4 linked regions of the Drosophila melanogaster genome follow. The protein of the gene in region 3 interacts with the protein of the main gene of each other region in a pairwise test. Each region holds a gene or a part of one and is shown on either strand. Other genes may lie near its edges. The genes, in order: CG4730, Cph, phol and unpg.

What was found.
Region 1: the proteins of phol (region 3) and CG4730 interact in a two-hybrid assay, tested with the Drosophila melanogaster proteins (one large-scale study listed by BioGRID).
Region 2: the proteins of phol (region 3) and Cph interact in a two-hybrid assay, tested with the Drosophila melanogaster proteins (one large-scale study listed by BioGRID).
Region 4: the proteins of phol (region 3) and unpg interact in a two-hybrid assay, tested with the Drosophila melanogaster proteins (one large-scale study listed by BioGRID).

The regions. Positions count from the first base shown.
Region 1 is NT_033777.3:25,676,478-25,680,634, forward strand, and holds CG4730 (uncharacterized protein), read right to left. Parts: upstream 2,206-4,157; 5' UTR 2,119-2,205; exon of another isoform or gene 2,108-2,118; intron 2,071-2,107; exon of another isoform or gene 2,061-2,070; coding exon 1,051-2,060; intron 990-1,050; coding exon 821-989; 3' UTR 595-820; downstream 1-594. Other genes in the region: Lgr3 (Leucine-rich repeat-containing G protein-coupled receptor 3), read left to right, coding at 27-553; CG5039 (uncharacterized protein), read left to right, coding at 2,300-2,422, 2,496-2,681, 2,737-2,763; CG4743 (uncharacterized protein), read right to left, coding at 2,889-3,003, 3,116-3,531, 3,595-3,861, 3,914-4,009.
Region 2 is NC_004354.4:7,224,485-7,229,717, reverse strand, and holds the start of Cph (chronophage), read right to left. Parts: upstream 3,264-5,233; 5' UTR 2,787-3,263; coding exon 2,732-2,786; intron 1-2,731.
Region 3 is NT_037436.4:9,452,283-9,458,422, reverse strand, and holds phol (pleiohomeotic like), read left to right. Parts: upstream 1-2,141; 5' UTR 2,142-2,685; intron 2,686-2,780; 5' UTR 2,781-2,883; coding exon 2,884-4,893; 3' UTR 4,894-5,620; downstream 5,621-6,140. Other genes in the region: CG3552 (uncharacterized protein), read right to left, coding at 1-12, 66-434; CG3437 (uncharacterized protein), read left to right, coding at 774-829, 888-1,061, 1,121-1,657, 1,743-2,025; ghi (ghiberti), read right to left, coding at 5,980-6,125.
Region 4 is NT_033778.4:9,193,187-9,200,788, reverse strand, and holds unpg (unplugged), read right to left. Parts: upstream 5,585-7,602; 5' UTR 5,456-5,584; coding exon 4,621-5,455; intron 1,707-4,620; coding exon 1,456-1,706; intron 1,394-1,455; coding exon 1,022-1,393; 3' UTR 919-1,021; downstream 1-918. UniProt on the Drosophila melanogaster protein: Plays a regulatory role in neural branching of the tracheae: segment-specific aspects of these neural branching patterns appear to be generated by homeotic regulation of expression. May have a role with oc/otd in the postembryonic development of the brain.

The sequences.
Region 1 (4,157 bases), on a different chromosome or scaffold from region 3:
CCAAGTGACGAAATTAAACTTAACAGGCTTTCCATTGCACATCCACGAGGCCTTCCCGATGGGCTGGCTTTACTCGGCTTTCGTGTTCCTGGGCGTCAATCTGCTGCTGCTGGTGATGATTGCGATGCTCTACACGGCACTCCTTATTTCGATATGGCGAACGAGGAGCGCCACTCCGCTCACTCTGTTGGATTGCGAATTCGCTGTGCGATTCTTTTTCATCGTGCTGACCGACTTCCTGTGCTGGGTGCCCATCATCGTTATGAAGATCTGGGTTTTTTTCAACTACAATATCTCCGATGACATCTACGCCTGGTTGGTGGTCTTTGTGCTGCCACTTAACTCGGCGGTTAATCCTCTCTTGTACACCTTCACCACGCCCAAGTACCGAAATCAAATCTTCCTTCGCGGCTGGAAGAAGATAACTTCTAGAAAGCGAGCGGAGGCTGGCAATGGAAATGTGGCCACCACAACGACGGGCACGGCAACTGGATCCTCTCAGCATCCGGATGACTTCACGATCTTTGCCAAAGCCGCGATGAGATGCCATTAGGTCCTAACGCTGTCGAACTGAAGGATTCTTGTGGCGCAGATCGAACTTGTATACCACCAGATTTAGCAGCATTTATTTTGTCTATGATATCGAAAATCTATATATGTATGTGAATATCTATCCCTGTCCGTGTAAGATAACCAAATGAAAGTGTGAAATAAATTGAATGTGATATTTGTAAGGCAATTTTACGGAATTTAAAATGGGATGCGAGTTAGTGTAAGATTAAGCTATTATCTAAGTTTTGGTAATAGTTTTAAATACTTTTTATTTAGAAATAGCAGCGCTATCATTTTTGGCATGGTGTGATTCTTTCTGGTCCGAGTAAATCTTTGCCATTACCAACTTGGAGCGCACGATGTGAAACTTTCGCATTTCCTCCAGGTCCTCCATCTGCACCACCATGTTATGCTTACGCTCCAGGTGCATGCGTAGTCTAAAAAATTATTAAGGAGTGTTACTTTCAAATAATGTACACTTTAAACAAAATAACTAACTTGTTACGAGCTGGATAGCTCTGATGGCAGTGGGCGCACTCAAATGGCATGGCCGTATGCGTGCACTCGTGATTCCTGAGAGATGAAGATGAGGTAAAGGACTTCTGGCAGCCGGGAAACTCGCAAATGAAGCGAGATCCAGAGTGCTTAACCTGCTGGTGGACAGTCAAATGGGATCGCTGTGCGAAACGACGATCACAGAGATCACAGGAATAGGGAAAGTCTCTGTTATGATAGCGTTTATGAATCTCCAGGGCTTTGGCAATGGCAAAAACCTTGCCGCATGTGTCGCAGTGGACTCCAGACTGCCTGTGCTTCGAATCGACGTGAACTTTCAGCGCCTGCTTTGTGAGGTAAACCCGGTCGCACTGGCTGCAACGAAAGTTGGGACGATTGGCCAAATGAATCATCTGGTGCTTGGCCATGCGGGAATGGTTCCTGAACTCCTTGTGGCAGAACTTGCAGTTGGATTTTCCCGTATGCCGATTGCGTGGCACAATGTCCTCTAAGCTGTCGATAGGGGTTTCCTGCTTCTCCTCAATCTCTTCCATCAGGAACTCTTCATTCATATCCGCCTCATTCTCCTCATCCTCCACGTCGTCTTCCTGTTCCGTGTTGGCTTCGGTTGCCACAAATATCTCCCTCAACTGCTGATTGGCAATGGCCATTTTCTTGTGGAAGTCGTAGGCCCATTTCAGTTCCACCGCACAACGTTTGCACAAGGTTCGTGGCTCGTTTTTGGGATTTTGCCGCAGGTCTTCCTTGGTGCAGATCTCGTAGCAGTCGTAGTAACTCAGCGCCGCCTCCTGGTCATAGATGACGGTCATGTCCAGCATTTGGTTGGGATACGGCTCCTCCAAACACAAGCGGCAGCAATTGCTCAGCTCCAAAGAAGTAGTACTGTCTGAAAGTGAGACTTCATGGGATACAAGCTTCACGGGAGCTTCTGCAGTTCGCCTTGCTATTGTAAAATTAAGCGTTTGGCATACTTTTGATGTTTGGGGATCCATCTGTGCAAAGCTTATTTTGATCAAATTGAAAAGATTACTCAGATTACCTAATAAATACTTCTTTGTTTACAGTTGAAAATCCCCGCTCTTAGCCATAAATGTGAAGAAAAACTAAACATAGCTGTGCTAGGGTTGCCACCTATTTCACGAGAGGTCTGGCAGCACTTGGGAGCGCTGAAATTTTTGAGAACTTTTTGCTTCGTAGTTGTTGTGATTTCTTTGTACATCCCCTGAAAACGATGAAGTTACTTGAGCCTCAGACGACCATTAGTCCTGAACCGGACATACTGCATCCGGACGACGGTCAATACATATGGCTGCCAATTTCCGTGCTCGTTGGCATTTTCGTTCTGGCTGCACTGGTGCGTTATCGCCACAGTCTGTTTGTTTAAGTGGATGTACATTTGTTTAATTTATGCATTTGGGTGTACACAGGTCTACGCCATGTCACGTAGTCGCTGTCGGAATTCCTGGGATTGCCTAAAGAGCAGGAAGGCTCCGCGAAGTGGATACATCAATGTGGATGAGGAGGATTCCGATGTGCCCATGGACTGCGGAGATGAACTGGGAGATCAAAGGACTACTGCTACTCTCCTCACTGGTCGCCTCCACATTCAGGATGTCAGTGAGCTCGTGACAATGTCCCAATACAATCACAGCCCTTTTTCTTCCACAGGGAGCGAATAACGCCTCCAATGCCTAGTGAATCTCAAAAGTCTTCCATACACTTTATTGTCCACGTTGTCTTCAAACGGTGGTTGTCATCGGTTTAGTTACTACTGCAAACTACGTGCCTCTACTACAAGTACAACGAAAATAACCCTAATTTTAATGATCCGTACTGGTGGCGCCAAGGATTCGCGTCGTCAGGTCGTAGAAGCCAAAGAAGAATGCACCGCCCAGTGTGATCCACAGCACACGCGGCACAAAGCCAGCAAACAGACTGAAAAGTAACATCGAAGTACATTAATAAATGTAATAAATAGTTTTGTAAAGTTAATTTGTGTTTAAATATTAGGACCAGCTTGAGTTGCGTCTAATATGGAAATAATTACCCGCTGAAGCCTCGCTCCAGGTAAATGCCATGCAAAATTCTTCGGGCACTGCGACGTCGGTTGAGACTCTCCCTTTCAGCCAGCATAATTCGGGTTTTGACCACATCGAGCGGCGTAGTTAATCCCGCTGAAATGCCTCCAGCGACAGCTCCACAAAGAGCCACCGAAAAAGGAGTGGAATCGAAGCCGGTCAGGGGAGTCCATTGCAGCTTAAAGTACTCCCAGAGCGGAAACTGTATCAGACTAAATGGAATCTCCCGCATGATAGTGGAACCAAATCCCCTGTACAGACCACGTTTCAATCCCTCAGTGCGATAGGCACGCAGTAGAATTTGCAGGCCGGACTGTTTGTTGCCCTGCAATGTTTGGGAGCGTTGCTTGGCAATCTCCACGGGAACTCGGATCAAGCATGCCAACTATTGGATACAGAGATTCTTCAGATCTAAATACGAGGTGCTCAGTTTTATATGAAATCCTACCACTTCTGCTGCTGAAGCCGCTGCCATGTGAACATAGGGTGAATCTTTGGTTTGGGTGACCGAACTAAGGAACTGCTTTCCGCACTCGTAGGTGCAGAAAAACAGGGCCGCCGTGGGAGCACTTCCTGCAGCCGCAGGAGCGAGTCCTTTGTAGATGCCCCTGAATCCTCCTGCCCGCCAAAAGCCCAGCTCGCTTTGCAGTCGGGTCTTCACTGTATCTATGGGAAACAGCGCTATGTCCACTACCATTCCAGCCACTCCTCCTGCCTAAAACTAATTATTTAAGAACTAACTTTTCATTTAATTTTCATCTACTTACAACAAGTGCATGGAAAAATTTTAATTTATTGACCGGCTCTTGCATTTTGATTGCCACGGACCCCGCGGCCGATTCCAGACCCAATTCCGCTGCCATGTCCTAGAAATGATGTTGGGGCATCCACTTTAAGTCATCCCGTCGGAGTATTAACTAAAGTTGTTTTAGTAAACAAAAACATAAAATGTGGTTGTTAACGTAACAGTCAGCTGCTTTTTGCTGATCTGGCAGGTCTGCAGATAACAGC
Region 2 (5,233 bases), on a different chromosome or scaffold from region 3:
ATTGTGCTAATTTATGCCCCCATCCTGGCAGAAACACACACATGTGCAGAGCCAAGGAGTCGAAGGATTCGGTTTTATGGCCCAAAGGTTATGGGTGTCTGCTCTATCTGTGGGGATGCCATAAAAACCAGGCAGAGAGCGCCACACGGTCGTCCTCGTCGTCGGCTGTTTTTAGGTGCTCGCTTTCGTAGGACGCAGGACGAAGGACACAGGACCCCGATGAAAAATGGCGTCAGCCACGAAAAACTGGACCAACTATCCTATCTGTGGGCAAAATGGTGGAAGACAGCGAAACTTGCGCCTCTTTAAGCAATCACAGTTGTTATTAATATTAAAGTAGAGAATATGGCAAGGAAAAAGACAGTATGTATATGTATCACCATTCATTTGCAATCACTTTGCCTTCAATGCTGCAAAATCGAAAACTAAAGACAGCTGAATGGTTATCCAAGTGCTCCACTTCGTTGACGGGTTGTTAAATAAAAAAACAGAGTAGAAATAATAATAACGAACGCCCCGAAAATGCTGAGTAAATATTTAAAGACAACGCTCTTTTTTTTTTTTTTGTTATTTCGACTTGTTGTATTGTTTTTTGGCCAACTCATTTAAAAGTTTAACAACAAAAAAGGGTTAAACAAATTCAAAATTCTGTGGCAGGCGATAACAGTCGGCGTGGGCGTAGTGGTAGTAAGTATATATATAAATATGTAAGTGTTGTGTCCAACAGGCGGTTGAATTTTTCTTTTATTTTATTTATTTTTTTTTTTTTTTGGCTGACAGTGACAAAGCGACGTCAGCAGCTGAAAAACTGAAAATCAACTGGAGTCGGAGCGGCCCCCGGACTTAATTTGTTTAAACAAATTATGTGTGGATAACATAGCGATACGGATACGTGGAAAGGTGTTTAGCAGCTGAAACTATAACAAACAGAGCGCGATATATCGTACACATGCACATAGTGTTTTATATTATATATGTACATATATATGGTACCGCCTGAAATTACAATGATTTCTGTTGTGCGGGGGCGCAACAAATACGAGTATCGAAGCCCCGAAGCCTTATCACACCGGTCGCCTTCGCAAAGTGTTTTAGCATACAAAATTTGGTTTTATTTGCCTACTGTCCCCCAATAGAGCTCGTTTTCATGGTGGCTCGCGGGGTTCACGGGGTTTTGGGGTAAAAAAAAAAAAATAAATAAAAACGAGGAGAAGAAGCGGTTAGCCAAAAGCTAGCGCTGACTGCTGATAACACCCGCATATGGCGGCAAGGTAAGCGACTGGATATCTGGACAAACAAATGAGCAAACGAATGGAACCCCGACCGTAAAACCGGAGACCGCAGACCCGTAGACGGACGGACAAACGGACGGTACGAGCCCACAGTTACCCCGCCAGGTTGAGTGAATGAGCCATATGCAAATATGGTCGCGGCCTGGAATCGGGCATTAACATATAGTCCACGTGTGCGTCTGTCTGTGTGTTAAAGCTGGACACACATGGCGACTGATAAGCCAAAGGAAATGGGCACAAGGTATGGGCACAACAACATTAAATAATAAAAGAGCATTCAACCGAAAGTGCAATACAAATATATAGCAATTAATATTTAAATATAGCCAGGTGAAAACTTAAATGTATGATAGTTAGTATGTTTAAATTTAAACAGCTTCTCATGTTTTTGCTTTGAATTTTTTTTTTATTTATGGGAAACTAAAGCCTAGTTAATGCCACACATTAACAAACTAGATAAGGTATTATTGATATATTATAAATATAGCTCATTTCCTTTCAACTATTCCAGGTTTGAGTAGGTTATCTAGTTTTATTCTAAGAATCTAAGAAGCGATTAAGTGCAACTGTACTTCCGGTTAGCTAAAATCCAATTGGTCTTTTGAAGTCGTGCGTTGTTTGAACATCCGTTTGTAATCGAAATGTAAGTTTGAGGTGGACCGATGGCAAAAGACCCGCTCTATTTGCTTAGAGCCAATGAAATGTTCCCATTGTTGCTCTCTGCTCACTTCTTTTGATAAGACATATGTGTGGCTTGTAAGTTTTACTTTTCATTTTCAGGTCGTTGTTTTTTACCCTGCTCGGTTTTTTTTTTCGTTTTTTGTCGCTAAAATATTTGTATTTGTATTGTGAGCAAGGTGCAGAGAGGCGATATAGAGAAGTTTGTTTTATTTCCCGAAAGTCAACGACAGTCACGACGGACATATGTAAATATAGCTGCGATCCATATAGGTAGGTAAGTAGGTTGCCCCCTCTTTACCCACACTATACACCGCTGGGTGTGTGTGCTGGTGTGGGTGCGGGCGTTGGCTTATTGTTGTTCTGGTTGTTCTTCCCAGTACAGCGCGCTTATCAAAAATTGTCCGCACATTTGCCCGGTTTTTGTTGTTATTTTTTTTTTGTTGTTTTGTATCTATTTGGGGGACAACATAGAGCGACAACGGCAAATGATTAAAGAGACACCCATGAACACCATGGTAAAAAGAAGTACCGCAGCAAAACTGAACAGAACAGGAAGAGCTGTTATAGGAATTTCTGAGAAGTTCCAAGAAATGCTGCGGTTATCTCCGTCCAAGATACACGCCTCTGGGCAATTGCTTATTGGGGAAATATTTTGGGTGCTCTTGATTATGATATAACAACGATTTTAGGGTTCGGTCACTCAAGGCATACCACAAATTAAACTAATGAGCTTTTACTGTTTTTAATTTTAAACTTACGGCTCAGCGAACGGAATCCATGATCCTCACTGATCGACAGCATTTTGTTGTACATCTTGATTTTTGTATAAAAAAAAAAATATTGTGGTGTCTTGTGTTTTGTTTTTTATCTTGTTTTGTTTTACGTTTCAAACTTTTAACACATCACAAGTTATTGTTGTTTTTGTGGTTTTTGGTTTAAAAAAAATAGTTTTGGCATTGAAAAAAAAAGTGAAAGGCACAAAAAGATTGTAGTGACAGACACACACGATCGTAGGTAATCCAATTGTCCTGCGTGTGGTTGTCCTAGAATGTTTGGTTTTTCTTGTGTTTTTCTTATATTTGATGAGCACTTTCACAAGACACGAAGCGGTAACACAGTAACGGTAACGGCTGCGTATCGGTTGCGTATCGGTTAAACCGTTTCGAGTGATTGTGGGGAATGCGAGTTAATGTTTCGTAAATCGACGTGTTTGTCGGCCGAAGGATCTAAATCTGATTTGAGGTCGTGAGCAGTGTGTTGTTGACCCCTCGGAGGCTTCACGTGGACTGACAACTAGTTGGCTTCCTGGGACGCTCGAGGGTCGACGGTCGTCGAACGTTCAATCCTGCCGCTGAGGCTGTGCCGTCGCCGTCGACGTCGGCAGAGACAGCGTTTTTTACTCACACACAGCGCACACACACCGCTCTTCATTCCCTTTGACCCTCGAGGGTCGGGGCTAAAAAAAAAAAACCATATAGGAAAAAAAACGTGTGTAGTCACCACTACACACACACACGCGCGTGCAGGGGTTGCTGGCCCGTCTCCCTCTCTCCCTCTCTCACTCATGCCCTCTGTACCTCTCCCTCGCACATGTTCGAGTTGCGAGTGGACCAAAGGCAAAATATATGGGAAATAGGGGGATGAATTCATCTCTGGACGACTACTGTCCGTTGATGCCAGCGTCTACGCCGACCGAGGCAGCGACGGCGACTACGACTGCTCCCCCGTAACCCCCCCCCCCCCATACCTTCTAAAGGAAAAATCTGTCTACTCACATGGATAAAGGAAAACTATCGACTGTCCGCCGCTAATCGCTGCCCAAATTGAGCTGTTACGCACAGCAGAGGGTTAAAACGCCGGCGAGGGAGTGTAACTATAACTATGTCATGAGCATAAAGATTGGAACAGGGGGAGCAGCAGTAAGGGTGTTGATAGAGCGAACGGGTTGTCGGGCAGCGAATAACTGACCAATGACAGGGTCGCACTTGGGATCCTAACTAAAGATAGGCCTTAGAAGTGCCACAATAAAATCATAATTTAAAGTTCAATTATAACATATTGATAAAAGTTGAAGTATTTTAGGCTTAACTAAACACTCTTTCAAAAACACCAGGAAATTTTTTGTATATTCATATTACTTTTCTGAAAATCTACCAATTATGTTCGAATTCGAAAAAGTAATTCTTTAGGCTAATTAAATGAATAAATGCAATAATATCCTAGTCCGTAGAGGTCATAAAAGGTTATGACAAGCCAAAGATATGGATTAGGTTTGTTATTTTGAAGTCAAGCCTAGAAATAATTTTCGTATCTCGAAAGAATAATTACTTCTTATTGGCTATTCTTGATTAAGATACTCGTCCGCTGTTAAAATCAGTACGAAGTGTTTGAAATTAGTTTAGTGGGCATATAGAGTTCTGTAATACCATACTATGAAGTTGTTAGTTTTAGATAGTTTCTAGTTCTTGGATATCGAGTTTAGCAAGGGGATCAGATTTAGTTCGTTCATAAAGCAGGAGGGACATTGGTGTAGCAAGGGGAATGCTCGAGTTCCGTTTTAGTTGAGTGAGCTATTTATGGAGACAATGCTCCACAGATCCTGGAAACGTCGGAGTTCCTTGAACTCTCTCTCTCTCTCTCTCTCTCTCTCTCTCTTTCTCCAAATCTCGGCATCGTTTATCCCAGCATGGGATGTGCGCAGTTCTCTCTGGAGTTCAGATCGCGGAAGCTGCGCAATAAGTGTGGCGACCAGCCCCGATCTCAGAACCCCCCTTCCCCCTGAATACATATATCTAATAATAGACGGGATTCGGGGAAGGAGATGAAGATGGAGATGGAGATGGACAGGCGGATGCGTAACATTCTCTAAGATTCTCTTCTTCTGCCTCGTTGGTTAATCCTTTCCCATTGTCACGAGGGTAAACGAATTTTTTTGTTCCTCATGTGTGTTGTTTTTTGTTTTTTTTTATGTTTTTTACTAAACCATACCACGGGCATAACGAACCCTGGTTTTTTTGCGCGCGCTTTTGATTTACCCCTCGGCAGGACTAAGACGCGGCGGCGCTTGCGCAGATGCGAGCTGCCTTGTAAAAGGATGCTGCTAATGTCCTGGAACGCTAAGAAGAAGGCAAAACAACAAAAAAAAAAAACTGGTCCCTGTCCTTTGTGCGCTTTAATCAAACGCAAAAGGGGCGGAGGGGAGGACATCCAGGCACAGGACATCCAGCCCGCGTCCTGTCGCCTTGCAATTATTTTTTATG
Region 3 (6,140 bases):
ATCTGAATTAAGCTGGAGGACAAGAATCAATAAATATTACTAGAGAACAAGAATATGACACTCACCTCCGCATAGAAGCCCCAGTATCCTGGTATTTTCCGGCTCTGAGGGGATTTCTCCAATTGATATGAAAACAGCCCGGGCACCTTGTGCAGCTGGTCCCATCTCACCTTCATGGCGTTGAGATAGAGCTGCGCCCTCCCCTCCAGACTCGTCTCGTACTTAACCTTGCTCATGGTTCGCCTACGGACCGGTCGCTTTACCTCCTGGTCCTCTTTTTGCCTGCAATCCGCGGATCGGAGGACTACCAGCGGCAGCAGAGTTGCAACCTTCAGCGAAAACCTGTTGCTAAAGCCGGCGGCTATAAAACTGCTGTATTTTTGGGCAACATATCGGTTGAATCGAAAGAAGGCTGCGAAATGCCGCGAAAACATTTCGTTTTGTGCTGGGCAGGGAAAAACAAACTGAAAATTTAGTACAATTTTAAGGCCCAGACAACCTGACAACCCAGACCGCCCAGACAGCTGATTGCTGACTTCAGCGGCGTGGCAAGAGGGTTAAAAAAAAAAACGAGTCAGCGCGTTCGTTTTTATAAATATGGATCCTAATAAAGTCCCAATTTCGGAATTTTATTAGTTAGAAGCTGGCGTACGAGATTTAAGAAGCATATTTTATTTTCTGAACCCCATTAAAAAATTTGAGCTACGCCTTTGATCCAAAAGACCTGCATCCCTGGTTTGTTTGCTGCTGAAATTGGCTGCATTCATCAACAAATGGCCCAAGTTCGAGGATCTTGCGAAAGTTTCTGTCCCGATGGGGAGGCGAAAATGTAGGTAAACGAAATTTAAACCCGAATTTAATATAATAACACCGTTTAATACATTCAGGCGTATTCGCGAGAAGCTTTTGCACTATTTCGAGCTAAAAAATGGCCAGAAGAACAAGCCAGGAGTCCTGGTCAAGGAGTTTACACGCTCCGCCGCCGATGTCAAGATGCCCATGCCCAAGGAAATGCGCACAGAAGCGGCATTGACCAAAACAGTGGAATATCTGCTCAAGGAGCAAGTATATTAGGCGCTTAGTTAGCCAAGTTAAATCTGATAATTAATATACTGTGCAGCATAATCCTGGACACACGAAAGCCGTACAATGTGGCTTACGACTTCATATTCGATCGATTGAGGGCGGTGCGTCGGGAGATCGTGATCCAGATGTACGATGCCAGTCAGAAGATTTGCCTGTTAGAGCCCATTGTGATGTTTCTGGCATATAGTCGCTATCGCTTGTGTGAGGAGCCCATCGAGAAGTTCGATCTCAAGATATGCAATCAGCATTTGCAAGAGTGCCTCACGGGAGTGCTTTGCTGTTACGAAGAACTGGAGGACTTGGAATCATCTAGAGAACCCACCGTTCGTGAGCTTGAGCGGCGCTGCTTCATAGAGAGCCTGTATCAATTGTTTAATCTGGGTTCTCCCGAGTCCTTTACACGCGCCCTCACCTTACCGGACTATGTGCGTCGGGATGCGACGTTTAAGCTTTGTTTTGGGATCTGTTTGGCCTTCCAACAGGGCAATTTGTATAGAGTGCTCATGGGTGTGCCACAATTGCCGCATATTCTGTGCGCGGTAGCTGCCGCCAAGTTGCAGGTGATAAGGAGGTACAGTATAACTTTTTCTATTGGATCTCTTATTGACATGATGCATTTTTAATGTAAATACATATGTATGTATGTATATTTGCAGGAGTTTGTTGCAGATTTTCACGCATGCCTACAACAACAAACAGCTTACGGTGCCGGTTCCTTACTTGTTGCGTTTACTGTTGTTCGATGGGCCAACAGGATTGCAGGACCAATGTCGGCATTATAATATATCCTTAACAGCGGATAGGAAGGCGGTGCAATTTAATAAGACTGATTTTAACCACAATGCAGAGGTATTTACACCCCAACACGAGCGCTTTGTGGAGTCGAAGCTGAAGCGTATTTATATTCCAGAAGTTCTATTGCTAAAGAAATTTAACTAGTTATTTATGAGCAACAATTGTAAATAGCTCGAAATAATAGTAAAGCCATGGAGATTAATTTATTGTTATTGCGCATTTGTTTTCTTGTCGGGTGGCAACCCTGGTGGCAGAACAACAAACCTATCGCTTATCGAAAGACAGAACGCCGCGGTATTTACAGCTAATAAATGGTTTGCCAGTTGGAGGTTAATAAAATGCAATTTTTGAATAGTAGTTAAGATTACATTTGTGCTGTTTTGCGAAGTAATGCGAAGAGAATAACCAATCTCCGCTGAATAAACCGCTTAAGATATACACAAAGCGCGCGCAGGGTTGCATTGTGGCGCCTGTCGCTGCACACTACACACACACACACCCCACACACGCAACGCGAGAGAAAGTACCGAGCCGTTTCTGGAAAATACAATTCCGCCATATTAACCGGCAAAATTCAAAATATTTACACTGCCCGAGGTGAGCGGGATCGAGGTGGTCATCCAAAGCGAGAATTAACCCGCCATTGGGCAGCAGGAGAGTGGCGGGCGGAGCGGAGCGAGCGGTACGCATCATTCGCCGTCTGCCGCCGCCGTCGCACAATAAACGATAGGCATTGGCCACAAAAAAGTGGAAAAAGAGGTGGAGGGAAAGGCCAGTTCAGTGCAGCAATACCGACGAAAACACGTACGTTTGTCCACTTTGGAAGTCTGGCGAATATATAGAGATATATACATAATACGGATTTTTGGCCAGATACTAATTGCCCACTTTTTCCGCAGCGCGCTCGCACACACAACACTAACACTCACGCACGAAGCAAGAGCGCCCACAAATACAAGCATACAGATACAGGCACACAGACAGGCAGACGGAGCAGCCGCGATGACAAGTCATCATCATCACGTCGGCGTCGGAGGGAACTTCCAGCCTCAACTGCATCAGATACGAGCGCCCATCGTGAAGAATCTATCGCTGGCCGCTGCGGCGGTACCGTTGCCCCTGCACTCCGCCCCGTCGTCGGCATACTTCACTCATGCACACCAGCCTACGGCGGCTACCATAGTCGAGCAAGATCCGTACACCGTTTTGGCGGGCGATCCGATGGGCGAGGAAAGCGAGAGCTTCCTGATCGAGGAGATCATCGACGACTATGATGATGAGGCTAATATCGTCGTAGACTCAGGCGAATTCTTTGAGCACTATGAATACTATCCGGTGGATCGGCTGGACAGACTTACCTCGGTCACGGTGGCTACGGCAGATGCACTGCCGCCGCCGATCATCATGCAGCAGACCAGCGACGATGAGGAATTCATCGAGGAGGATGGACAGCAGATGACATCCTCCTGCGATGGCGATGGCGATGAGGATGATGAGGCTACCGCGCCGGCTACGACAAATGCCTTCGAGATTGCCTCCGAGATGCTAACCACCATCGAGGCCACAAACATCAAGGAGGAGCAGCTCGAGAGCGACTTCTATATGAAGGCGACCGAGGATTCAAACAGTTCGAATGGCCAGCTGCAGGATTTTAAGCTATTTGGAAGCAGTCGCGTCGAGAGGCCCATGGGAAATTCAGCGGCCAAGCGCTGGAAGCAAACAAAGGTACCCATACGCATAACGCAGGATGAGTTCAATGTCACCCTTTGGTCCTCGCTCAACTCGGAGGATGAGGACGAGGAGGAGGAGTTGGAGGAACCACCTGGTTGTGCTGGCACCACATCCGTGACGTCCTCCTCCGCCGCCCAGAATGAAGGATCACCCAGCATGCCAAAGCTTATTATTGACGAGCACATGATCAACCACGATGTTTTAAGCGATGGCATCGGCAACGAGTACGTCATCCTACCCGATCCATTCAGCGCCTCTGCGGTCACGGATGTGGAGGAGGTGGTTAATGCATTTATGGGCGATGTCAAAGGCGAGGAGGACAGCCAGCCGCTAAGTGAACAGTTGATCTATGCGGAAAACCAGTTGGAAGAAGCTTATGGTAACATCGAGCTTATCGAGAACATGCCGAATAATGTGGAGCTGATACAGACACCGGGACCAGGTCCAGCCACTGTGTCGGTAGCGCTATCGAAGGTCAACGGATGTGTACCGAATCCACAGCCGGCTCTCCCAAAACTAGTGCTCCAGAACAGCAGCACCAATGTGCGACTGAAAAGTGCGGGAAATCAGTCAAAGGTGACAAAGAGGCAACTCACGGCGGCGGCTCAGGTGGCGACACCAAATCCCCCACCGCCACTAGTGGCTTCCAGCAATCCAGCCCGACCCCAACGACCCACAATTGTAACCAAATTACCGACTGCAGTGGCCAATCAGACGGCTGGTAATGCCATGGGAGCAGCTGGCGCGGCCGGCGAAGAGGATGAGGAGCCAAAGTTTCGCTGCACCCATCGCGGCTGCAACAAGGAGTTTCGCAACCACTCGGCCATGCGCAAGCACATGCACACGCACGGACCGCGCGGTCATGTGTGCAACGTCTGCGGCAAGAGCTTTGTAGAGAGCTCCAAGCTAAAGCGCCACCAGCTGGTGCACACCGGCGAGAAGCCCTTTGAGTGCACCTTTGAGGGGTGCGGCAAGCGCTTCTCGCTGGACTTCAATCTGCGCACCCACGTACGGATACACACTGGCGATAGGCCCTACCACTGTCCCATTGATGGCTGCTCCAAGTGCTTCGCCCAGTCAACGAACCTCAAGTCCCACATGCTGACGCACACGAAGCCCAAAAGGAAGTGGCCGCGCGCACCGCAAGTGAGCAACAACAAGACACCGCTGGTGGCCAGATACGGGCGACTGGAGTTTGGCGAGGATCCTCGTCTAGTGTACGTAGAACAGAACGAGGAGGTGGCGTCGGTGCTGCTGGATGGCACGTCCCTAACATCCTAACTAGTAGTGCGCTTTAATGTGTGGCAGGTATTGGCATGAGATGGTTAAAATATTAAAGCTCCTTTGGCTCCGGAAGGCATTATTGTACAGTTAGTTGTAGCCAGTTTTTATCTGTATCTGTAACCTGTAACGAGCGGAGCGGCCGGACAAGATTGTCACCTGGTGAACACATCCGCCCGCTGCCCGCCCTTTAAGTAAGTAGTGTAAGTTCATTCTCTAACAAAATAGGATTGCAGTGCAAAAGGAAGTTAGATGGTAGCCATTAATTAATTTCCTTCACGGATGAAGAGCAGTTCTAAGAGTTTAGCTTGTACCGTAGGCTAAGTGAGTCCCCCCGCAAAACCAAAACTGAACCGTAATCCCCGAAGAACTCAGCCAAACTGTCACCTTAAAAAGCCCCAATTTGATCTGATACTAATCGTGTGCGATCTTCGCTCGAATAACAAAACGCGCACTTTCTTTTCTACGAAAACAAAACAAACAAAAAAATAAGAAAAATACACAAAACTAGTTTTACCATATTCAATACGCATACACCATAGGCTATCTATATATTTTTGTAATGAATTATAACACTTAGAGCATTGAAGTACGGATTTAGCATGTTCAACGTCTGTTGGCGCTAACAATAATTCACAAATGGAAGCACATCAGTTAAGTCGGAATAAACAAGGGAAATACCTCTTCAAAATTAAACAAAAATAAACCAGGAAAACAATGCAACAACACTTGCGTATATCATTTATCATTTCTTTTTTTAACTATTTCACAGTGCGATTGTGTAAGCGTTAGATTTATTAACTGACTTTAAACTTGTAACTACTGCTAGATAACTACATTAAACGGTGAGGCAGCTATTGATGGACAGTCGCCGGGTGTTGTCCACTTCAGATTCGGATCAGCAAGCGATTAGATCGCCTCTTTGGACATGTGTCGCCTACAGCTACGTTCCATTCATTGATTGCGGTGTATAAACGCGTGCGGATTAGATAAAGCATCGCGGCGAGGTACAGATACGCGGCTATTTTGGATATTGGAACGGAGAACAGTACACACGATTGGTCTGGGCATGGTCTGATCGGTATTTTAGGTGACCTTGAGCCCATGTCCTTGAACTCCGGGAATAATATCCGCGATGGAGGCACTTGTTGGGCCAATCAATCCGGCCAGCGAGAGCAGCACGGAGTAGTTGAAGTACCAGAAAACGCAGAAGAGTACCATGAAAATGACGTCTGCAATGAACCGAG
Region 4 (7,602 bases), on a different chromosome or scaffold from region 3:
GTCAGCTTCCATGGCCCAGCTTCCGATTCTTGATGCCAACCAACAATCCAGCAGCCGGCAGCAAATTGCCTGCAAAGTGTTGCAATAATAAAAACCCATGCTTGGAGGCGTGTCCCAACACAAAGCTGCGATACACGACACACGAGGGTGATGCGATACCAAACAGGGCCAGTTCCCAGTTTCCACTTCCCAGTTGCCAGTGCGAGTCCCTTTCCCTGGGGTGGTTTTCCTCCTGTTGGCCTTTCGGCCGGGAACAATTAGGCATTCGGTGGTGAAGAGGGGCGAGTTACAGGGGAGTTGCAATAAACAAGAGAGTCGGGAGGCAGCCAATAAGTCGCTAATGCAATTAAAAACTCACACAAAGCAGAGGGAGCTGCTAATGCTAATAAGTCACGAGGGAAGAGTCCTGCGCCCGGCGCCCGGGATGCCAGTCAGCCCAAAAAGGAGGCGTGACACGTGAAACACCTGGAGTGATTGCTGTTCCCGTCGTCTACCCTCTCTTTCGCTCGCAGGACACTCGGCGATCCTGTATCCTGACGCTCATTTCGTGACAATTTGGTGCGTTAAATTGGAAAAATTAGTCACAGATAAGACGACCCGAACTCGAAGTGAATGCAACGCTCGATTTTCCGACACTCGACTAGACTCGACTCCAAACGGCCACTTTGGGCCGTGCTAAATCGCACAAATTGGCAGTTTAATTGTTCCAATTGACATCGAGGCGAGATTTGTGCCCCGGTTGCCTGGAGTGGCCTCGACTTCCGGCTCCTGGATGGGCGTGTTTCTGGGCCGCCAGGATTTATGTGCCATCATGTGGTGGTCAGTGGCACAAAGCATACATCACATATATGTATGTCTATATGGGTACTCAGATCTGCTAGAAATCCACTAAATGGTTAAAGTAATACAATTCGACTTGAATTTGATTTTTCGTTTGTTTATTTACATAAAGAAAACTCGGCTTGCAGACGAACTGCCTCCATAGGTATGTACACTTGAACGCTTCAGGAGCCCAACTCCATCAATAGATGCTCCTGGCGAGGGAGAGGGGCGTGGATACCCCCAGGCCGACTCCCACGCCAACGCCCACGCCCACGCCCAATCCCACTGGTCCTCCGGATGGCGATGAGGCGTTGGTGGAACCGCTGAACTTCTCGAAGCCTCCGATCGCCTCCGCCGAGAGCTTCTTGCGCAGATCCGGCTTCGGTCCGCTGAGGCACATCTTCTCCAGCTGCTGGTGCTGCGACCGGACGGCGAAGCGGTTCACGTGCACGGGAATGGGCACCACGATCTTGGTGCCACTAGTGGTCCCGTTGCGACCCAGTCCGTGCGAGGTGAGTCCAGCCTTAACCCTTTTCCACTTGGCGCGTCGATTTTGGAACCATATTTTAACCTATTTCAAACGGATTATCATCAGCTTCGGGTGTTTTCCTTTCATTTAACAACTAAACCTACCTGAACTTCGCTTAACTTTAGACTGGTGGCTATTTGACTGCGCTCCGTGAGACTGAGATACTTCTTGGCGTGGAACTCCCGCTCGAGTTCCAGCAGCTGCTCCGAAGTGAAGGCTGTGCGCCGGCGACGGGACTTGGAGTTTGAGCTGGAGCCATTCCCCTGCGAGTCCTTGCCGCCCATTCCACCGCCTTCGTGCCGGGACTGAGCGCCTTCATCATCGCTGCAATCCTCGCTATCCGAATTGGTATAGGCTGAAACAGTAGGAGATATGGCATGAGTTTATGTCAAAAAGGCAATGAATGAACAAGAAGAATCACAATCAGCAATTATCCATAAAATATATAGGTATTCCCAAACTACAACTCATCTGCAAGACATGAGTATAAGAAAGCGATCTACTTTTGGCATCACACGGTATTACAAGGATCGTTACATCTAATCCACAAGCATTCCTACCCCACTTCACCTTTGTCTTATGAAATTACCGTGATCTCAATATAATTTGTTAATGGTTTACAATATTTGTTAAAAATGTTTAAATATTCAAGTAGTAGTACTAAGTAGTAAGTAGTACTAAGTACTAAGCCCAAGTACTATAACCTTGAACAACAAAAATCAAAGGGATCAAATCAAAATCATCCAATCTCTTAAGATTATATGTTTCAACCTATACTTTATGCTTGTTTATTTATCTGCAATCAACCCTATTGTTTAAATAAACAGCATATATTACCTATCAGCAGTAATAGTATTTTGAGCAGGAAAAAGATAAGTTAGACGCAACCACTTTCACTATGTTCACCCCAAACGTTTTCACAAACAACGAATTGCGCGCTAAAAATTTAATTTTCGCGAAAAGTCGCAAATTAACCCTATATGCTCCAAATAGGGAATTAATCACTTTACAACATAGACTCACACAATTACTTAACAAATTTCAACAATTTGTTTAAACTCTATTTAAAGTTGAAATTTCGTTTTGAAAGTTCAAAGAGGACATAACTTTGTAAAAACGCAAATTGTTAGGTTTATACGCACAAATTGAACAACATATTAGTAATATGTATAGTAGTATGTATAGTACATAGTAGACACCTGAAAAATGGCTATTCATTTCAAATTTGATGGGTTTTGGCCTTGAAATTTATCCCAAAAGCGGTTCACATTCCTCAATGTGCAAGCCATTAAAATATGAATTTTATTCCGAATAAATAACAAGAGATATACATTTAACTACATTTTGAACGGATCCATTTAAGAAAATCGAACTTTGAAATGGACTTAACTAAACTTAAAGTGTATCAAGAGTTTAAGTTAAGACCAAACACTGACTTCACTTTTTCTTTGGATTATATTGTTATTTTTCCAAATTCCATTCCCTTTTGTATTGTATCTTTCCTGAGATACTGAGATACATCTTCGGTTGAGTGCAATCCCATCGTTCAGAGTCACTCTAACACATTGTGCCGAGCAATGCCGCCTCGGTCCAGCCCACATCCTGGCTGATTCTGTCCGGACTCAAGACAAGTCGCTTGGAGCAGCCCCATTAATGGGGCCCTAACGAGTTCGGACTTCTGGTGCAAATGGCCCGTGCCACAAATTGTGGCAAACATATTTATTTATAACTGGATACATGTGTCTGAAGGCTGCCCTTCATGCAGAAGGCATGGAATGCTCGAAACATAATCTGCTTGTTTTGGGTGGACTCAAGTTGAGCGTGCCAGCCAAGTGTCAAGTGCCAAGTGCCCGATGAGTCCTCCCAATTCCGCTACAGCTCCCACTCCAGCTTCCACTTCTCTTAATTTTGAGTACATGGTTAAGCGGTTTTTAACACTTACACGCTTCAAAAGTGCCCGCTGTCACTGATTTATCTGCCCATTTGGACGCCTGCCACCCTGTCGCCAGTCACCCACATAGCCACCCCCATGTCAGCCACCCCCACCCACAAAGCACACCATTTGCGCCCACTTGCGCTCAGTTATGAATATATTAGTCGCAAATTTGTTGCGCTCTTTGCTGCTTCGCTGGCAAATTGATTGCGGCACGGATGGCTCAGTTTCCAGTTTCCAGACAGGCAGCGGGGGATCCGGATGATTACGTTGATGGGAGAACGCAGTGCCATTCCATTCGAGTGTCCAAATCGCCAAATCGCTACGATTGTCAAAACGTCAGCATTCCGTTTCCAGTCACTCCGCTTTGTGGCTTTGTGGTCGACGGGACGACGAGTGGCGTTTCTGGATCCCGAAGTCGGAGTTGTGAAAACTTTTCACTCCGTGATTGACACCGAACACTGGGTCTTAATGCACTCTATGCTAATTTGATTATGACGTGGCAGGCTCAATTTAAATTACCGTGACAACGCCGCTCGACAAAATGAGCCACCGCAAAACTGGACACGATTCGAAGGGGTAAATTATGAGTACTAAGCTCAAGAAATATTTGTATTTGCTTTTGATTTTAAAGAGTTTCTCATTTCGCTGAACGCATTTAAGAAGAATGAGGAACACAACAGGACTACATTTGCATATCGCTCTAAATAATATTAAAACATACTTTTTAAACGCAACAACGAATGTTAGCCATCATAAAAAGTGTATATAAATATTTTAATATCATATTATTTAGATAAATCCTAAGGATTGTCGAACGTCTAACCAATTGGCCAATTTGTACCGCAATTTATTTCCTTAACCCTTAATTGGTAATTATTAATTGATAATTAAAACTAACGTAAAGTGATAATTAAAACTAACGTAAGAAATTCGATGCCCAACAAATTTTAGTCGGTGTAATTACTAATCACCAAAGCAAACGAATAAAAGTTTAGCAAGTATTTGAAAAACATACACTCTTTTCAAAGTGATGAGCTATTTAGTGATATCTTAATAAGTTGAGCAAAATTTAACGATATGCATTAAACAATAGCTTTATATTTATGCAAAAATGCTAACTATTACTATTGTGTCTTCTGCAAACTATAAACTTTATAGTATAAAGGACTTAATAGTTGTAACCATGGCTAAAATGGCTGCAAAATGTATCCGTAAATCTTAAAACAATTGCCGACAAGTTCTAAGATAAAGATCAACCAAGAACTATATCGAATTCCCCAAACATCTCATTAGTATAACCACATCCCTGAAAGATTGATTGCATGGTACCCACCTCCATTGCGGCTCTTGTCCATCTCGCCGTTGTAGTTCCTGGGCGACATGGTCAGGCTAATGTCACTGCAGGAGTCGCCGCTGCACTCGAAGTCCTCGTCCATGCCCACATCCAGGGCCGGTTCCATGGGACTGTGGCTGCCGGACTTGGCTGGCGAGGAGTGGGCCTGTGGGGGCGTCGGCTCCTGGAGCTGCGCCATGCCGGGATTCGCTTGATCCTCGTGCATCCTGCCGGCGGCGGCCATGTGCTGCAGTCGAGCGTGGACACTCAGACTGTGCACGTAGTCCTGGTTCATAAGCTCGGCCAATCGCCGGTAGCTGAGATCCGTGGGCGCAACTCCGGCGGCGGCGGGATTGAAGGGCAGGAAACGCGTATCCAGCGGATGCGGCAAGGTGGGTGGAAGCTGTTTCTCCAAGGCATGTGTTGGTGGATGTGGTGGTGGTGGTTGTGGCTGTGCCTGTGCCTGTGGTTGCTGTGCAGCAGGATGACCAGCTGGACTGGAGGGCAGGTAGCAGCCGCCGGCAATTAAATGCGTTAATCTCTCGTGATTCTGAGCGAAGTAGCCGTGCAGCCAGGGATTATAAAGCGGAAACTGGGTGAGTCCCAGGGCCGAACTGGCTACCATGGCGCGGGCACTCAGCTCCTGCTCCTGCTCTGCCTCCTGCTCCTGGTCCCGCTCCTCGGGCGGCGATGGTGGTGTGGCAGTGGCAGGCGTTTGGTTGGCGATCAGACTCTCGATCGAGAAGGGCTTGGGAAAGGGCTTGCTGGCCAGCCTGGTAGTGGGCGATTCCATGGTGCCGATCTCTCCGTTTTGCAGCAAGGCCGGTCGTTCCATATTGCCCACTCAAAAGCACACTTTCAGGGCGATCGAAACTAACTTCTTTCTTCTAATTTCTCAACGCGTTTCTGTTCCCGAGCAGACACGACGCAGTGAACCGTTCAGAGATCTGCGAGCGACTGTCCAAGTGCAGCAGACATCACGTACGCGTACGGCACCCAAGTCGAAGCCCAGAAGCCCAGAGGCGCCGAGCAACCACCACCACGGATGGTCTGGCTCCTCCTCCATTTCAATATGGCGCATGACAAACAGCTGGTGTCTCTGTCTGGCGCGCGCTCCCATTGGCCAGCTGCTAATTGCCGGGTGGTGCGGACAGCGAACCAGTTTCCGGCAATGGAGCAGCACCACTACCACCTCCACCACCGCCCGCGTTCCCGCTCCGTAATTGCGTTCTGCTCGAATCGCTCGGTAATCAGACATCGCCGGACTGGCGAAGAGAACGCCCTGCCATTAATGCCCCATCTTCGCCAGCTCCTTGGCCATTGGGGAGTACTCCCGCCGGCGGAGGACGGAGGATGGAGGATGGTGTTCTCGCGAGGCATATTAGTGACCAATTTAAATTCAAATGTCAGTTGCCAGTGGGTGTGACTGCTGGGCATCATTAGCAGACACTCCAGTGTGCTCAACGATTTGTATCTGCAACTTAGGTGCATATCTATTAGTCTACGGATATCTGGTTTTAATTATCTAAACATACCAGTAAACAGCTCTGTACAACTATTAATTTTAATTGGTGGTGTTTGAGGTATTTAGTTGGTTCTTAAGCGCACTAATATAGATTTTAAGAGAGTTTAATTGAAAGTGACATCCGTAACAGGCAGAATTATTCAAAGGAATACTCGTATTTCTTGGATGGTAGCAATCGCTGATAATTTAATGACCCCTAATTTATTGCAAGGATTAATATTAACAATGATTTTTTGTAGGCCTGATATGCCAAATTAAATATTTTATATAACTCGTTTTAAAGGTAAACAGGCATAAATACCTCCAACAAGTGTTATTACATAGGGTATATATACATACATAGGTTATACAAAAGTACGTTTATAGTATCCACAAAATACAGACAACAATCCATTGCAGTCGTGACCCCCACCGTCCCCAAGAAGCAGATGGATGGGACTACTGTTTCCTACATCCGCTGTGGACAAATCCACATCCGTTCCCTGATTCCTCGATTCCCCCGAAGCACCCACAATTGATATGCCGATCGTTCTTCGCGCAGCAGGTGGCAATAATTTGCATGTGTATGGCTTAATTGATCGTAATTGACCAAATTTTTGGCCATAAGTGACGAGGCGTCCATTGATTGGAGCGCAAATTGGCATTGGTCACGTTTGGGTGTTTGAAATCTTTTACGAGCACCGAACATTGCGAACATTTAACCGATTCCACAGCGGCATAAATTACAATACAATTATGCGGCTCGTTGATAATTTTGGTTTTCTGATTATGATGAAAGCTGTTGGGTTTTGTTCGGCACTTTGGCAGCTTGTCAAGAATCAGCAGGGATGGGCGGGGATGGATCCTTATAGACACTGTCCGCCGAGTGTGGGTAAATATTTCTGGGCAGCTTCCCTTCTTCTGACGGCGGAAAACGGGCAAATTAACGAATTGCAACGAAGCGTTGAATGCGCTCAAATAAATCAGAGCACTGTTGACACCATCATCATTCCTCATCCCCGGATTCGCCAACCCCAGTCCGTGGTACCCCAATCCTTAATGCGCAGTCCCCAATCCCAGTGCCATGTGCAGAGGGCGAAAGATACATCTCTACAGATACTCTCTTTCGTTTGAGCGAGCGCGTTTTTTAGATTTTTTTGATTGCCTGCAGACGGAGAACAATTCGAAATTATTTACTGACAAATCGTTGCGAATTTTTGGCATATTCCTGAAATGCACAGAAATGCGCACACTGCACAAAACGAACACAATTAAAGCTCTAGCCATACGTATAATGAGATACAAAAGTATCTGCAACTAAGTACCTCGAATTGCTCGCTGTCTGCGGTCTCTAAATTATATCGTTCGACTAATGAAATTAAAATTTCATGCCATTCGACGCAATGTGAAGGCGAACATGTGTTCCCGTGACCGCAGAACACGGAGCTACACGGAGCATATAGTCATATAGCTGGAGC